4 linked regions of the Saccharomyces cerevisiae S288C genome follow. Changing the gene in region 2 together with the main gene of any one other region gives a genetic interaction. Each region holds a gene or a part of one and is shown on either strand. Other genes may lie near its edges.

Region 1 (3,747 bases), on a different chromosome or scaffold from region 2:
CGGCATTACCAAATCGGTGAGATACTGTCCCTCCCATGCGTTTTAAAGGCCAGCCACGTATCCAGAAAACGCAGCACCTGCATTTTTTGGTGGCGGAGGCTATGCTGGAAAAGGTAGTTCTTCCACTGCAGTAACTTCTGCCACAGTAAATTGGCGTGGATAGGCCCTGCAACATATTGCAGGTTTAAACGGAAAGTGTCCCCGCTTGTAATGGAAGAAAACGGTAAATTTTAATGAAGTGTACAGGCATAAAAGACAGGCGGTTAGTTGTTCTGTGTTGCCTGTCACAGAGGAACAGCGCGATAGCTTGCAGCCACAAAATTATAAGGTTTCTCTGGCCAGCTATTAAAGTATGAAAAAATTCGGACAATATACATATCTCGGACGTTTTCGGAGCAGTGCAGTCACTGGTATTGTACAGCGTTTATCGTTTCTCTTTTTTTTTTTTTTTCTCACTAAAGAAAATTTTTGACCATACTTACAGTAGACTAAATTACGTATACTATTAATCCTTTTTAGTTATCTCTTCGCTTTTTTCCTTTTCCCTTTCTGCACTAATGATTACCATTATTGAATAGTTTTTCCTTTTCCAGCTTCTGCTGTTTCTTTTGCAGTTGCCTTGATCTTTCGAAGTATAGGTTAGGATGCGCGATATGCGTTTGCTCGCCAATTTCCAAATCCGCTGATGCAGAGTTGTGTGTCATTTCAAACACTTTAGTGCAAGCAATTGTGTATTCACCTTTCTGGCAGGAATCCAGAACACTGATGATCTGCGCTTGGGTCAACTTCATAGAGCGCAATTCTGCAGATAGTCTCTCGTGACTCCAATCACGGAAAGGGCATCCATGATAATCTCCGCGCCCAGGTCTGGGCTTGGAAAGGATAGTGTGACAGTCCCATGGTTTGTAGTTGATTCTGTTACCTTCAAGACCGTAATTATGCCTGAAGCTGTAACGGTATTCTTTATTGAACTTCTCCATTGTCATGTTCCCATTTCTTGTAAATGCCTCAGACCAAAATTTTAACGCTTCATCAGCGCTCAGGCCGATACCTTTCAAAAACAGACTCAGTTGTTGTCTCCCATAATACCTCAAATGATGGTTCTTTTTAAGACCCTCCATCAGGTTTTTGATACATAGCGGATAGTTTGAGCTAATCTCTTCAGACCAGACACTTTGCGCATTAATCTCATCATCTACGTTCTCACTGAATTGGTTTGCCTTTTGCTGGTTGAAATCCGCGATAGTGTACCCCGACGAAAGATGATTTAGAATTGGTAACAACCGGTCATCCTCATTCAGTCTTGGTAAGTACTGGTACGTTTTTATTAACTCCTGGTTCAATTTGCTAGCAAACTCATTAGAAAGTAAATTCAATTGCTGGAATTGTGGTAAATATGCGTACCCGTCCTTCAAAAACACTAAACGGTTTCCTACCAGTTCTATCACATTTTCGAAAGGTAATTTTATGAATTTTTCCTGTTGGAAATACTGTTTTCTTTGATGTTCCTCGTTTAAATTCAATTGGAACTGTAGAGACGCAGAAACTGTTTGATACAACTGATGAGATAATTCGGCCTTTTCTTCATTTGAGATAAACTGTAGTAAGGGTAAGTCCAATGATTGAACAAATTTTGTTTGATCGGTGGAGGTTAGCATGTTAAATCTAATTTTGAACAAAAACGTTTCAGCCCTGACGAATTTTTCCCGCAGTTCTTTTGAACGACAAAAGCACAATCTTAAAATGAAATGAGAGTAGTAATCCTTTTTTCTGTCTTCTAAACTCTCTGTGTTGAAAGGCAGTAGTTTTTGGAACTGCGGCTTGATAATGGTTTCAATTTCTTTGATCGATTTGTTTCTTGAAAGGCAAGATTCGATCTCTAACAGAATTTTGAGACGATCGATTGCCCAGATCTCAAATTGTTCCAACGTTATTTCTCCCTGTGGTGGTAAATCGTAAAATGATAATTTAGACTCATACAGCCTAGCGTAAAGTTTTTTCTCTTCTTCAGATGAACTTGAACTTAAGATGATCTGGTTAGCTGCATTTGTGTTGCCTACGTCCAATTCGCTTTTGACAATATCATCGTATGAACTAAAATTCTTCCTTGAGGCAATTCTTCTTTTTGACTGCCTGAACATTTCTTCTCCTTATTGTGCTTTACCTGCTGTCACTGGTTGCTCCACCTGGGTAGTTATCAGTCCTGTCAAAGTTGTGCAAATTGGAGAGATGTAGATAGTAAAAAATTTACTTTTGCAAAATCACAGGATTTAATATCGAGTTTTACGCGATTCCCCGCGACGCGTAATTTCAAATCAAGTTAACTATAAATGAGCAGGAAAAAGCAAATAGAGTGAGCAGCAGATATGTAAGGCAATATTGAAACAAGAAGAGACCTGTCGTATCACCTTTGGCCTGATAAAAACAGTGTTTCCATGTCTGTCTGTAGCAGCGGAAACAATCCTACGCCGTGCTTCTGGGCTCTTGATGATGTAAGATGTTCCGTTTCATGAACGCACTGGATCTCAGCTTATAACTGTTGGTTCAGAAAAATTCAATCATTTATTTAAAGAATGTACCGTACGATGAATATACGCTATAAATGCTTCCATATATGTATAAGTGTATCGTACTATATTCGTAGCGGTGTCCCGTCACCCGGTTTTGCACCCGTTCGAGGCGCGATTTAATTTCGTACATCCAGAAAGAAAACTGGCAGATGGAAATAAAGCTCGGATTTCATGATGATCATAGGTACTCTTTGTATAATGGGCTCATCTATTATATATTCACTGTTACTGTGTTGATACTCATATTTTATAAGCAGCTTAATAGGTGTGCGAACGGGAGGATTTTTGGTAAAAAGAGGCTTAAATTACAAGATACGAAAGGGTCAAAACGCTAGGGAAACCTTTCCAGGACATATAATAGTGGATACAACAAAATACACACCACTTTTTTTCTGAGCTTTCTTTCTTTTCAGTCTGTTTTAAAAACGAACACATAAAAATGCTAGTAAATAAAGTGATAGGGTTACTGGGTGTACTCTTCGCAACAAGATTTACAAATGCCGTCGAATTGGATCTAGACAACTACGAATCTTTGCAAAATGCTACTTCACTAATTGCCTACGGTTTAATGGATTATTACACTGGTAATCAGTATGGTAAGACGGTCGGTATGTTTTCAGATCCGTACTATTGGTGGGAAGCCGGTGGTGCCTGGGGCTGTATGCTAGATTACTGGTTTTTCATGGATAACGACACCTATAATGATGAAATTATAGCAGCAATGATACATCAAGCTGGTGATGATAATGACTATATTCCGCTAAATCAATCTACCACTGAAGGTAATGATGACCAAGCCTTTTGGGGTATTGCTGCTATGACTGCCGCGGAGAGAAACTTTACTAATCCTCCCGAGAATGAGCCTCAATGGCTATATTTAGCACAGGCTGTTTTCAATACCATGGCTTTGCGTTGGGATGCCGATTCCTGTGGTGGTGGTTTGAGGTGGCAAATTTTCGTTTGGAACTCTGGTTACGATTACAAGAACACCGTTTCTAACGGTGCCTTGTTTCACATAGCTGCAAGATTAGCAAGATATACAGGTAATCAAACATATGTTGACTGGGCCGAAAAAGTTTACGAGTGGATGGTCGGTGTGAACTTAATTTCTAATGGTACCTATAAGTATGTTTACGATGGTGTCAGCATTGATGATAATTGCACCAAAGTGACCTCA
Region 2 (3,942 bases):
AATACACATAATAACAACATTTCACCAATCACCAAGATCAAATATCAGGACGAAGATGGGGATTTTGTTGTGTTAGGTAGCGATGAAGATTGGAATGTTGCTAAAGAAATGTTGGCGGAAAACAATGAGAAATTCTTGAACATTCGTCTGTATTGATAAATAAAACTAGTATACAGCAAATACTAAATAATTCAAGAAAAAAACATTAGATAGAGAGGGGCAGATGTTCAAGCTATACCCATTATATTGATCCACACTTAGTATTAAGATACGTCTGTGAAGGATGAAAAAAAATGTATAATGTGACTAGAGGAAGTAAGGAGAAAAAACGATAGTAATCGTATTTTAGGTTGTGCGTTTTTATAATTTTTTTTTTTTTGTAATTCTATGCAAATGTAATATAAGTATATTTAAAGAAATAATGAGTCCTGTGAAAACAAAAAGAAAAAAAGATCATTAATGTATGTTAACGTATTTGCTTTGCAAATTTTAATTTATTTGTTGTTAAATGCATTTTTTTTTTGTCGTTTCAGCGAGTTTTCTTGAGGTTGCTACTATCATTAAAATCACAATCCACAGAGGAAGTTGATCTCTTTTTCAGTTGGGTGGGGGCAGAGCATGGGTGAGCAGTGGCCATGGGTCTAACAGGAAATAATCTTTTTGAACGCACAGATAAATTTTGTAATAATTTTCTATTTGACATTAGAGATGGGGTGGTGGGAGTTAGTGGGCTTGGCCAAAAGATGCTTGAATTTTGTGGGATGCTCAGTGACCTTTTAAAAGAATTTTGGGTAGAAGAGAACGAACCTGAATGTGAATGGTGTGATGCAGAGTCTGGGGTCGTCATTGAACTTGAAGTCTTGTAAGGGGAATTGAATGGAGATGGAGAGGATGAAGATGAGGTTGGAGTGAAGGCAAATGGTGGAGAAATGCTATCTTTGGTCAACCTTCTTAAATGAGTGTGATCCGAGAAATAGTCTGTGGCCGCAGATGAAACCGTAGCGCTCTTTGGAGTAGTAGCATTTGAGTAAACACAAGTCAATGAATCGCTGTCAAAGGACTGAGCAAAGATAGTATTGTACATGGTTTCCAATTCTTGTGAACGGTAGAATTCTTCCAGTTTCAATTGAATACAATAGTTTTGTAATGCGTCTAAGAGAGATTTTGCTAAAGATGTCTTATTGCTATTCAAATATTTTGATTTGAAACTGGAGGGGAAAGAATTTTGGTCCATTGCTATATCCAATAAAGTATTAGAGATTTCTGACAATTTAATATCTAGGTCTTGGCAGTTTTCCTCCAAAGCCAGATTGATATTTTCCCAAAGGTTTGAATTATAGTAGTTCAAAGATAATTTGATGAGGTTAATTGCACCCAGCGCAATTAGTGAACGATCATATTTAAATGATAATTCGAGATTGAAGGAAGCTAACTCGCACAACATAATGGCACCCAATTTGATCTCGTTGATGTTCAAAGAGGGGCCTTGAGAAGAGGACGATTTATTAATAGCAGTACCAGCAGCGTTATTTAATAAGGCCAGTTTCTGTTGAATGAAAGCTTCCAAAGGGGCAGAAAGGACAACGCCAGGCGATAACGGGGACGTAGATTGGAACAAGAAGATGTCGATGTAGGAGTCGAATGTTGCCGACTGACAGATGGACCAATCGAGTGATTTGAAAAGATGCATTTCCATAGTCGTGAATTGCTTTATAGAATATTGATTGCAACACAAGTTTTGCAAGACTTTCAAAGTGGCCATTCTATTCTTGGAGTCCCAAAATTTGGACGAAATCCAAAGCGCGGTCAAGGACAAGAGCTGGTAGTTGTAACTCTTGATAATGAACCGCGAGGAATACTTGTCCAAGATAGTGAAAGTAAGGAACAAAGTCGAGGTCGATAGATTGAGTCTTGTGTGACAGTACATGATGAAGTCAAAGATCAAGAAACGCATCTTCGGATTAACTTGTGGCTGAGAGTTGAAGTTAGTCAGGTTGTACAGCGGCCTTTCTGTGTGGGAAAGACGGAAATAGTGGTCCAATTGATCATTATTGTATTCGCTGATCGCTGAGTGATGTGCTTGCAATTCTCTTTTAACGAGATTAGGGTTTTTAGACTTTGCACTAGCAATGGCCCGCCTCTTTTGCAAGAGCAAGGGCAAATTAGGACATGAGGCAGCGCTGACAGAGGCGGCAGTGGCGGTGGAAGTGCCACTAGCGGTAGCATACCTTGCATTAGCGTATCTAATTATGGTATCCTTCAATATGGCCATCGTACAGAAAGCGTATCAAATCAGTGTCTTGAACGAGAGTAAAAGGGAGATGCAATGGAATGTAAGAAATGCTATGGGTCAGAAAAGAAATGCAGAGGAGTTAAACCGAATGAGGAAATGCAATGGATACGTTAAATTGGAGATGTGAGATTGCGACTGGGACTCGGATGGATGCTTGCTTTTGGATGCTAGTACAGAGAAAAAAGAGGGAGAAAAGAAAAGAGAAATAGAAAAAGGTTGGTTTAAGTCGGCAGAGGAGACTACTCGGGCAATTCGTTTCCTAATGGGTATAGTCCTCTTTCCTCAGAAATCCATTTGACTGGCAGACTCAGTAGTAGAAGAAAAAATCAAGAAAGAAATTGTGTGAAAGTATACTACACAAGAAAATGTTTAAGAAGAAGATTAAAAGCTCGAGGAAAGTACAGATATACAAATTATAAATAGGTAGGAGGAAGAAAAAAAAAAGATGAGGGCAAAAACCCAAGGCCAAATATGGAAATGTGGCAGAGGGACACACTAATCCGATAGTAAATTTATGTAACTTGATCATTACAGTGAGAGCAGGCTTGGTAATTTCTTTTTCTTGCCTGATAATTTTTCACTTTTTCTTTTTTTTTTTCTTGAAAGTTCACAATTTAGGGTTTGAGCACAGCGTTTGGTTGCGACACTTCCCCAGAAGGAAAACCGGCCTCTTTGGCTGGGGAGGGAAGAAGGGGGAGGAGAGCTCAGAAAGCCCTATCGCGATATGAGGGACCGATCTGTATCAGCATACTTTCGGTATCATCACGGTCGCAGGATAGAGATAGTGAATGAGTTAGCTGTTTTACAGGCCAAGCGTTCAAACGAGACGAATGGCGACATTTGCCCGTCAAGAAAACCCGCCGAGTTTTTTCCTAAACGGGTAAAACAGCCATGCACCGCAGCACGTCGACGAGGTGATATTTCCAATTTGGGAAATTTCCCAAATCAGTAATGTAGCCTCTACGGGTGTCTCTGTCAGCCCCGTGGTCGCCAGCACAGAATGTATCGTACCCCTGAAGGTAGTTTTTTACCGCCGTGGCACACGATAAAGGTGCACCTTGTGATAATAAGGTGGAAAAATATATATGAAAAAGTGAAATTGATTGTGGCTGCACTAGGACATCATTATTTCTTACTTGGCTATTTACACGTACTTACGCTGGCTGTATATCATTTAAGGGGCGGAGGACGAAGAGGACGGACCCGAGATCATCCGGTCCAAGAAACGGGTCATCCGGTCCTTAGCATTGTCTAGACTATCTAGGGCAGGACGGACATCCACGTGGAAAGTAGGCATTCCGTTTTCGTCGTCGGGCCCTCCGTAGAAATCCAAGACGTATCTAACTTCCTTGAAGGTTGGAGGTTGTTGTTCCGCTTTGCGCTCGCCTCGGAGTACAATCCAGTCGTGCCTGTCGAATGGTAGTTCTTGGCTAAAATGGGACGGAAACAGTAGGCCGCACAGGTGCATCCAGCGAGCACGAGGGCTCAATACGCCCGGTTTCCCCATGAATTTCAGCAACTTAGGCTGCACGTGGCTTTCATCTGTGTGCGGTTTTTCCCATTCGAGCACTTCCTGCCAGCACCCTTCATTTAGAAAGTTGTGGACCTGCACCATGGACTCCACTGCATCTTCGGCGACTTCGCCGCTA
Region 3 (4,573 bases), on a different chromosome or scaffold from region 2:
TGTTGATATTTTAATGAATGAATTTGCGTTCAATCCCAAGGTTTAAAGTCCTTTTCTTTTTTTGCGTAATGTTTACTTACCCTCGAAAAAATGTTATGTAATGACTGCGGTGCTACAGGAGAGGTAAATGATTTTCTATATACGTTTATATTTCTTCCATTTACGCACACTATTTTTTGTCCTTGAATAATTTAACTCAAAAAAAGTGTAAAAAACTGTGTCATTAGGTATATGTTCAATACTTTTGATCTTCAAATGACGTAAAAAAAAGTTTTCAGACGGACTTAAACCGCCAACCAGCCTTGGCCACAGGTGTATGATGCGAAGATTCGTAAGCGCTCACGTTAGTCACATCTCAGGATTGGAAATTATACTAGATAATAAATGGCTTTATTTAATCATATTATAGTTGATATAACAAATCACACCTCCGCTTAATTTATACGTAATAGTATTTACAGTCCTTATGGGTATCAAGACATATTAGGTTAGGAGAACTAAAGAAAAAAAAAAGGACTGTTTGTGCAATTGTACCTGAAGATGAGTAAGACTCTCAATGAAATTAGCACTTTTCTTGGATTTCTATTAAAGCGCTAGCATCTTTGTATACGTCTGACTGGGTAAATTTTTGAAAGGAATCGTTATTCATCAGTCTATACATTTCATTGCTAACGATCTCGAAGAGGGGATATAATTTCCTGAGGACCTTCAAAGTTGCTGGAAATGATTCAACCGATTTGGTATCATTTTGGGTGTTGTCCATGCCATAACGAACAATTGTATGTGAATTTTCTACTGATGCATTAGGCGAATGCGTTTCTGCCAGAGTTAACGGGGCAGGTTTATATTCCTTTAACTGATGTTTGAATCCTTGCTTCTTAAATGAACAGTTTTCATTTGAAAGATTTTTTGAAGGTTTTAGACTCACTTCAGGTGGTTCACCTAACGTGTCAGCCTCCGTTGAGCTAATTGATGAAGCTGCTGATTCCGCGGATGCAGGTGATGGATCGTATAGATTAGTAGGAAAGTGTTCCGATAATGGAGAATGAGGGTGCAACATGATGTCAGAAATATTCTGACGCAAGTTATGATGGATATTTAATTGATATGGTGATCCTATCATGATATAGGACGAATAAATGTGATATGCCATTTCAAGGCACTCATTGGCCTGTTTCATTAAAGCTGAATCAATCGTTTTTACGATATTGTTTTTTGAAGTACTGGTATTAGATTTTTTATCACAATGCTTAGAATCTATCAATTTTTTCAGAATTGTCATTTTCTTCAAAAACCTCTTAATCTCAATGAAGACATCCAAATTTTCTACACAAAGTTCCTTTTCTAAATGGCGCCTGAATAAATATCTCATACCTGGATCAGTTAGCACATAGTCCAGTTTATTTAAATTACTCGAAGAGATAAGCATGTCTTGAGAAAAACCTTCACTATCATCCAATGTCTTTTTTTCATCACGAACAGTCATATGACCCCTTAATGTGAAATCTAGGTCTATGGTGCTACCATTTGGTGCTCTAATATTATTGCTCTTACAACCTGTCCAAGAAACCAAATCCCAACCACGCTTGGACAAGGTAAAAAAAGAGGACCTGCTAATTTGAAACTTTTTCTTGTCAGTGCGTGATGGTTGTAAAAGAACTGGTACAATCAACCCCGTTTTTAAAAATAACGCTGCCAACGAGACCGCTTCTTTAACATGCATAATATCAGTACAGTCCATTATCCACTGCCATATAGCCTTTGTTGTAAAGGTGTACTTAATCACGATTTTTTTGGAAGTGCCAAACGTCTTATTTTCAAACAACCTAATACCTGCATTCGAAACGTAGTATTGCGTGTGCGACTCAGAATCTGGATTTGTAAAGAATCGATGAGCTAATGGCGATACCCTTTCTAAGTCATTTATATCGATGTTTCCAATCTGAGCTTGCCATCCTTGTTCTGGCTTAGATTTCTCAAAAGTAAATGTATCATCATTATTAGTGTATTCCAACAACGAAGATAGGCAAGGTAATGGGTCATCTGCGTTTGTTGGAGACCAAACATTTGGCTTAGCGCCCATCATTTTAATGAAAAGAATATGGATCAAATAATCACTATGGATGATTGAATCCGTGACAGAGCTTCTCTCAAAAGTGAAAAGTTTCATGGAGTTAAACGATGACAAAAGAATATCAGGCATTGTTTTCAACCCAATATCTCTAACATACTTTTGTAAAACAGCAACTCCCTTAGGTGTTGGTTGGAAAAGAACTTTCTCTTTTGGCTCGCCACGAGTTCTGTCCTGCGGTGTATGTAGTAGCTTAGAAGACATAAATAATGTAAGAAGGTGGCGCGCCAAACTAGGTTTAATATTATATGAAACGTTAATACAAGTTGTGTTCATATCCACTTTTAGTTCCAATTGTCCCATTGCTTTAATAGCTTCCTGATATGTAAAAGTGAAGTGGAAATGTTTAGTGAATGCAGTTAATAAGAAAGACTTAGTGTCACTACTATGTTTTTTCTCTTTCAAATCCAAACAAATTAGAAAAATGGAATATACTGTCTTTAAATCATTGGTAAAGATCAGTCCATTCGGCGTTCTGCTGAAATTTTTGGAAGATAATTCATGCAACGTCCTATTTTTATCCACCATCTTACAACTCTATCTTTAATTACCAAATTGAACCTATAACGCCTCAGATAGTGCGTGCAAAACCTAGAAGGAACGTACGACAGTAACACCTCCAAAGTTAAAGGACGATGAGAAGTAAAGACAGAGCTGGGATTATGATTTCATTCACCGGTATAAATATAACAGGACAGACAACAATTCTAACGCACCAGCAACCAAATCCAAGTCCTAGTCAAAAAAAAAGCAGTATTGGGATCATTGTTTCAAAATTGAATATTATGAAACGTTTAAAACCCAGACATCCCATAATTATTGAAGATGATTCAGTTAAAACTTCGCATACTTCATGGCTTCTTCATTAATAGAGACAACGGAGGTGGTTCAACTTGAACTTTTCCAAAGGAGTTGCCATCTCTTTGTATTGTTCGAACTCTTTCAAAAGACCTTGGTAATTTATCTATCATGTACTTTTCGAGTTAACTTAAGTGGAAGACGCTGGTTTTTCTTAAAGTTATAAGCACTATGTGGGTAATTTTTTATTGTCAGTCTGTTTCTGATCTTATCCAACAATTCATCAAAAGTTCTACTCTGGACTATAATCTCAGTGTAAGCGTTAAACAAATAGGTAAAAGGGTGCGGAAAGACCTTCAAAAATTCGAAAAAGATTGCTAAGTTGGATTCTTTATTATTCAACTGGCATGTGACAAGCGAGTTGTAAGACTGTAATAACTTGCTTCCGGAATCAAAGGTAAACTTTATCATTTTTTTCAAATATTCTTGTTCTTGAGCGCATGTTAATATCGGCATCTCAAACACAGTATATTTTGTGTTGAGTTTCTTTTTGAGGGATGTCGATAGGAGAGACGAAATGCTAACGTTATTTGAATAAATGAGGACCTTAAATGCAATGTTATTACTTTTTTCAAGTACCGATAAAACATTGATAAATTCGGTAAGCTTCGAAGGTTCTATTATAGTTGAAGTAGATAATTTATCTAATTGTTCGAATTTGAAGTAGACAATATGATCGATACTTTCGTCATTATTTATTTTCCTCATAACCATCATCATTAGGTCAGACGTGTGATTTGAAGGTTTTTCACTAGCTTCGAAATCTAGTTGTCCGCTATATGAAGCCTGCCCCATTGACTCGATACATTCTTTTGATTTGCTTGATTGAATACCCTCTTTCATTAAGTAGTCATTCATTTCTATAATTACGACATTTATATCGACTAAAGACAGTGTTTCTGAAACTGCACGGTCGATACCAGCATATTGGTGTATATGTTCAACTTTGTCGAAGAAAACGATACAATTTTTCATACTCCTAAGATTTTTTGAAAGAAACTTACTTAAGCTCGGAACGTAGCTTATTGACAAATAATTGGTGCCTAGCTCTTGCAAGGCCATTGATTTGAACTTCTGGTAGAAAACATGGTCCACTCGCTCCTTAACTGGACTCGGCTTACACACCTTTGGGCTGCTAACACTTTTTTTAATTGGAACAAGGTTCAACTTTCTCAGTACAGTAAAATTTTTTTGCTCCAAATCATCGCTTATTGCTTTCACAATCTTGTCACTGTCAACAACCTTTTTCGATCTCCTTATAGGTGCAAAATCGGAATCTACATGCTCCATTGTCTCTATATACTAACCACGTTCGTATTTATATCTATATTCGTACATATATTGTTCTAACTTATTGAAATTGATGGTTAAGAAGATCCCTTCTGTACATATCTGTAAGCGCAATGTTTTCTTCATTGAAAACAGCTGCAAAATTAGAAAACTAAAATAATAACTTTCAAGATAACTAAGCCGGGTTGCCCTTTGACCTAGAAGCATCCCTTATAATAACATTATGTGTATGAAAACCATGTCAGCAAGAACGGTTACGGATATGGAGTGAAGCAAAATCTTTAAGGATTTATT
Region 4 (5,706 bases), on a different chromosome or scaffold from region 2:
ATTCCATCTTTGTGCCGCGTAGTTCTATCTTACATAACTTTATTTTAAGAAGAGCTTTAGTTCATGTTCTTGGAAGAATTCCTTTTTTGACACGATTTTTAACCTAAAGGCTAAATTTTATTTAAACTAACAGTGAACAAAGTATTTAAAGCTTCATATGTGAGTTGTCGAACACGTCAATAAACGGAGGTAATAAAATGAAGGATGAGGGAAAAAAAAAACCATAATTTTAGGCTGAAGCCCATATTGTGATATTTTTAATGTTTTCTTAGAAAAATTAAAAAACTTCTCAATTAAATGTAAAATTTTACTTGTTGGCGATACCTTAGAGGATTCAAATTTAACTAGTGTTAATATACGAACTGGTAACACTAATGTTTAGATACCTGTATATCATACAAACCATTCAAAGTGTATAGGAGTATGTTCACAAACCGTAGTATTATGTGCTACATGAATCAAGTATAGATTTAAAATTTCTTTCAAGTCAATTTAAATTATTTTACAATTGTTTATATGCTTGTGAAGATTATATTGTATCACTATAGCAGTAATAAAGCGACAACAGCAACGATAGCGGTACCAAAAATGTTATCTTTATCGAAATTATAGGCACCGTTGGTATTGATACTGACAGTATAAGAAGCAGATGAATGAGCAATGGAAGTAGCCGAGGAGGCTTTTGGAATTGGTGAGATGACTTTGCTGGTAGCGGTCGCGATTGGTGCAGTTAACATGGTACAGGTTCCACCTGAGCAGTTGGTCACAGTAGTTTGAGTGATAGACAATCCGGTTCTGGTAAACATGCTAATCCCTGCATCGACAGTAGTCAGGGTGGTACAGGCACCCGCAGAGCAACTGACTTTAATCGCTTTGGGGATGGTCGACTCTGCATTGTTCGATGTAGTGGCTTTGGAGTTGAAACTACTAACCGGAGACATCAGCGTGGTGCAAATACCACCCGAACAACTAGTAATAGTAGTTTCCATAGTTAGCAACTCGGTTTTAGTAGAGGCGACATCTTCTTCATTATCTTCGCAACTAATGGTAGCGGTGGTAGTTGCTTCGCTGGTGATTGTAGTAACTGGAACAGTCAGGGTCGAGCAAACACCACCAGAGCATGTTGTTATAGTTGTTTCGACCGTGGAAGTTTCTGTAGTTGTTAATGTGTTCGCCTTAGCATTAATAGTAGTAACCGGAGACATCAGCGTGGTACAAATACCACCCGAACAACTAGTTATAGTAGTTTCCAAAGTTAGCAACTCGGTTTCAGTAGAAGTGATATCTTCTTCATTATCTTCGCAACTAATGGTAGCGGTGGTAGTGGCTTCGCTGGTGATTGTAGTAACTGGAACAGTCAGGGTCGAGCAAACACCACCAGGGCATGTTGTTATAGTTGTTTCGACCGTGGAAGTTTCTGTAGTTGTTAATGTGTTCGCCTTAGCATTAATAGTAGTAACCGGAGACATCAGCGTGGTACAAATACCACCCGAACAACTAGTTATAGTAGTTTCAACGGTAGAAACTTGAGTTTTCGTCAAAACACTATCTTCATTAGTACAACTACTCTTACAGCTCGTGATGACAATTTCATCTGTTGATAGGTTTGTAAATGTTGAGGTTGCATTACGAACATTTTCTATCGTGCTGAACAGACCGCTACTGATGGTGTTGGAACTTCTGGCATCACTGCAATTACTTCTTGAGGATACTAAGAGAGGGGAACTTGATGCAAAAGATGCGACTGACGATGTAGGTTCCATAGAAAATGAAGAGACGATCGATTGGGAAACAGTGAAAGTACTTAAAGTGAAACTTGACATATTTGATGACGAAAGATATAAGGAAGAAGTCCGCTCAGCAATGAAGCTAGTGGATGTAGACGTAATTGCAGTAGACGACTCTGGAGAGGAACTGATTTCACTGAAGGGAATATTAGGAGAAACTGAATCGGTAGAGCTAGTGACCACAGTTGAAGAAACAGCAAGTGGAGTGGAAGGCGTAGCAAAAAAGGTAGTAGATTGGGTAGAGGAGTTACCAGAGACATCAGATTTAGCAGAAACAGTGGATCTGGTAAAGAAATCAGCAGCCTTGCTCGAGGAAACAACGGCTGAAGTGAAAGTGGATGTGGCAGATAGACTTTCAGTAGAAGAAATGGATTCATCAGAAGAAGGTCCAACCAAAGAAGTGGGTTCAACTGATGAACTGATCCCGCTTGAAGTAAGTACTTCAATGGAAGAAGGAATCTCAGAAGAGGAAGTAATTACACTAGAAACTATTAGTTCACTGGAAATGGTGATTTGATTAGAGGAGATAGATTCTGCGGAAGTGGTTGCTTTACTGAAAGAGAGAGGTTCAGCAGAAGAGGTGATTTCACTGAAAGTAGACCCGAAGGAAGAAACAGGTTCTGTCGTGGTCACTTGACTAGACCTGATAGGTTCAACAGAAGAGGTGACTTCACTTACAGTAGTAGGTTCAGCGGATGAAGTGACTTGACTAGACCTGATAGGTTCAACAGAAGAGGTGAATTCACTGACAGTAGTAGGTTCAGCGGATGAAGTGACTTGACTAGACCTGGTAGGTTCAACAGAAGAGGTGAATTCACTGACAGTAGTAGGTTCAGCGGATGAAGTGACTTGACTAGACCTGGTAGGTTCAACAGAAGAGGTGAATTCACTGACAGTAGTAGGTTCAGCGGATGAAGTGACTTGACTAGACCTGGTAGGTTCAACAGAAGAGGTGAATTCACTGACAGTAGTAGGTTCAGCGGATGAAGTGACTTGACTAGACCTGGTAGGTTCAACAGAAGAGGTGAATTCACTGACAGTAGTAGGTTCAGCGGATGAAGTGACTTGACTAGACCTGGTAGGTTCAACAGAAGAGGTGACTTCACTGACAGTAGTAGGCTCAGCGGATGAAGTGACTTGGCTGGGACTACTTGAACTGATATATGTATCGCTCGTAGTAGTAGTAGTTGCAGAAGTAGTGAATGCGTTAGTTGTTGAGACACTAGAGGTTGTATGGTCAGTAGAAGCCGTAGATGTGGCAGGTGTAGTAAGACTGGCAAAAGTGGTAGAGGTTGTAGCAGTGGTAGAAATGACAGAGGATGCAGAGGCACTAGAAGTACTGAAAGTGCTTGAAGTTGTAGAGGTCGTGGGAGCGGTAGAAATGGTAGAAGTGGTAGAGGTTGTAGAAGTTGTAGAAGTTGTAGGAGCGGTAGAGGTTGTAGAAGTTGTAGGAGTGGTAGAAGTTGTAGGAGTAGTCGATGTGCTTGAAGTAGTAGGAGTAGTCGATTTGGTGGAAGTTTGAGAAGTGGTGGAGGTTGTAGAAGTTGTAGGAGTGGTAGAAGTTGTAGGAGTGGTAGAAGTTGTAGAAGTTGTAGGAGTGGTAGAAGTAGTAGAGGTTGTAGGAGTAGTCGATGTGGTAGAAGTTGTAGGAGTGGTAGAAGTAGTAGAGGTTGTAGGAGTAGTCGATGTGGTAGAAGTTGTAGGAGTGGTAGAAGTAGTAGAGGTTGTAGGAGTAGTCGATGTGGTAGAAGTTGTAGGAGTGGTAGAAGTAGTAGAGGTTGTAGGAGTAGTCGATGTGGTAGAAGTAGTAGAAGTGATAGTGGTGGTAGGAGTAGTCGAAGTACTAGATTTTGTAGTCGTTGTAGAAGTAGAGGTTGGGATAGCCGTGTAAATACCATCCTTTGAAAGCGCTGAAGAGATAGCCGGCTTTAATCTGGTAGAGTACCACGGAACACCAGTGATCATTCTAGTTACTTCATCACCCGAAATACCGGTCAATCGAGTAGTGAAATCACCGTAGTCAAAAACGGCTGCTGCGATTTCCGAAGGATATGTTTCAGTCTTATGGTGATTCCGGAAAGAGTAGTACTGAAATATGTGGGCTCTGATGTCAGAAACATAAACAGCCAATTCAATAAGGTTGACTCTTTCATCGTAAGGAGATAAAGTAGTGGTCGCTGTAATAGCAGCCGCACTAGTAGCTAAGGCTACAATTCCTGCTACGATGCTTATATTAACCATTGCTTTCTTCGGAGTTTTTCGGATATCGCAGATTCGACAGGAACTGGTACTTATTTCAGTTTGAGCATACTCTCAATACAGCCATTTACACAGGCCATTTATAGGCTTTCGAACCAAACAGCTGTTGTATAAACGAATATATTGGAGCAAAATCACTATCTTTGCCAATGCTTCTTGTTTTACAGTTCCTGAACGATGGAGATCTTAAACAGATCTCGTATAATTTTTGACATCTTTAAAGGCACGCGATGTACTGTCTTTTTCACCGCCAAAGAAATGCGCAGCATGTAAAAACTTCTCCGGAGAAAACGCCTACGGATGGGCAGATCGATCGAATTTCCCCGTGCCTAAATTGTTCTGCTCTTATTATCTGTGATTAAGTGACAGAACTGCAAAAAAAGTTAATTTGATGTCGTCGTTCAATAGACATTCACATAACTTTACTCTACGTGCTATACGCGCTACCAAACAGAAAGATCACTTTTTCCCAGTCAGTAGACACTGGGTCACTTGGGGTTTAGCACACTCGAAAAGGAGTAAATATGCTGCAAACGAGAATGTGCAAGCACCATTCAGAGGATCTTAGCTCGTAGAGAGAGAGAAGCTGTTTGTGCTATCCAATTTTGATCCTAGCGCTCCGAAAAAGGTCCGTATTAGGAAACTAGATCTTGTTAATTGAAATATCTCCTCATTTTTTTGCAGCCCGCCACTCAATGCGCTTTGTAACCTGTCATAGCTTGCACAGAGAAGTATCAAAGTCTACATGTGACAAAAAGAAAACCCAAATACTTCTTGGCTATGAATGTTATCGTTTGATGATAACATCCATTCCTCCAATTGGAAAATAATTACTCACGAAGGTTCTATGCATCCAAAGCGGAACCGTTGCTTTCATTTAATAGAATCCACAGAACTTTTAGTGTGATTTATACGAATTCCAAGGGAGACCTCGACGTGTGACTTGAATTAAGAAAAAGCCTTGCCAATCATAATAGTTCATATATGATAAACGGTCTTGATTCGGGTTCTTATAGCAACAGTAACGAAAAATCTCTACCCTCATAACTTAGTATTGTTGTGTTAGCGGTCATGAAATCTTTTGTATTTCCTTTAACATATCAGTTATATTTTCTTCACGCTACGTCAGCCCCATTATTGTGCCAACAGTTTACATCCTTTGCATTCAGAGGTGGTTCATTAGTCGCCTACAGCTGCCCGTTTGGAATGACGGCCCGTAGAGGACACGTTAATAGAAGACATTCCCCGCGATTCGACGAGTACGGCGCACTCTCAATGATTTGTAAAGGTTTCATATCAAACTATCAAAATATGCGGGGCTCTGCGTAAACAGAAGCAATCAGACTACATAAGGTCCTCAGTGTAATCTTACCGTAGGCCGATATGTCTTCCATTGTGAGAATTTCTCAACATTCTGTGGTTAATCAACCAAATCATGCGATACTAATGATCTTGACGGGCATACATAATAGAAGCTAAAAAAAAAAAACTAGCCTGAAGCTTATTCTGGGGCCCATATGCTCGAAATGCCAAATTTTCAAAAATCTAGCCCTACATGCACAACAAATGATTGTGCCTGCCTCCTGGCAGGAAAAGGGTTGATATGAAGATGTCCGGCGGCCTCTTAAACTTAAGATTGAAAGACATGCTAACCTTGTTC

The links.
Region 1: mutations in CLN3 (region 2) and PRI2 together harm fitness more than expected from each alone (negative genetic interaction), as found in Saccharomyces cerevisiae (2 studies listed by BioGRID).
Region 3: mutations in CLN3 (region 2) and SST2 are lethal when combined (synthetic lethality), as found in Saccharomyces cerevisiae (2 studies listed by BioGRID, with this or other methods).
Region 4: mutations in CLN3 (region 2) and DAN4 together harm fitness more than expected from each alone (negative genetic interaction), as found in Saccharomyces cerevisiae (2 studies listed by BioGRID).

What each region holds. Positions count from the first base shown.
Region 1 is NC_001143.9:351,887-355,633, reverse strand, and holds PRI2 (DNA primase subunit PRI2), read right to left. Parts: upstream 2,142-3,747; coding exon 555-2,141; downstream 1-554. Other genes in the region: DCW1 (putative mannan endo-1,6-alpha-mannosidase), read left to right, coding at 3,010-3,747. UniProt on the Saccharomyces cerevisiae protein: DNA primase is the polymerase that synthesizes small RNA primers for the Okazaki fragments made during discontinuous DNA replication. In a complex with DNA polymerase alpha (DNA polymerase alpha:primase) constitutes a replicative polymerase.
Region 2 is NC_001133.9:65,249-69,190, forward strand, and holds CLN3 (cyclin CLN3), read right to left. Parts: upstream 2,273-3,942; coding exon 530-2,272; downstream 1-529. Other genes in the region: Rho family guanine nucleotide exchange factor CDC24, read left to right, coding at 1-156; holocytochrome c synthase CYC3, read right to left, coding at 3,468-3,942. UniProt on the Saccharomyces cerevisiae protein: Essential for the control of the cell cycle at the G1/S (start) transition. CLN3 may be an upstream activator of the G1 cyclins which directly catalyze start.
Region 3 is NC_001144.5:1,038,708-1,043,280, forward strand, and holds SST2 (GTPase-activating protein SST2), read right to left. Parts: upstream 2,660-4,573; coding exon 563-2,659; downstream 1-562. Other genes in the region: leucine-responsive transcriptional regulator LEU3, read left to right, coding at 1-46; RIF2 (Rif2p), read right to left, coding at 3,092-4,279. UniProt on the Saccharomyces cerevisiae protein: Desensitization to alpha-factor pheromone. Is involved in regulating the signaling pathway for responding to mating pheromone.
Region 4 is NC_001142.9:711,713-717,418, forward strand, and holds DAN4 (Dan4p), read right to left. Parts: upstream 4,029-5,706; coding exon 543-4,028; downstream 1-542. UniProt on the Saccharomyces cerevisiae protein: Component of the cell wall.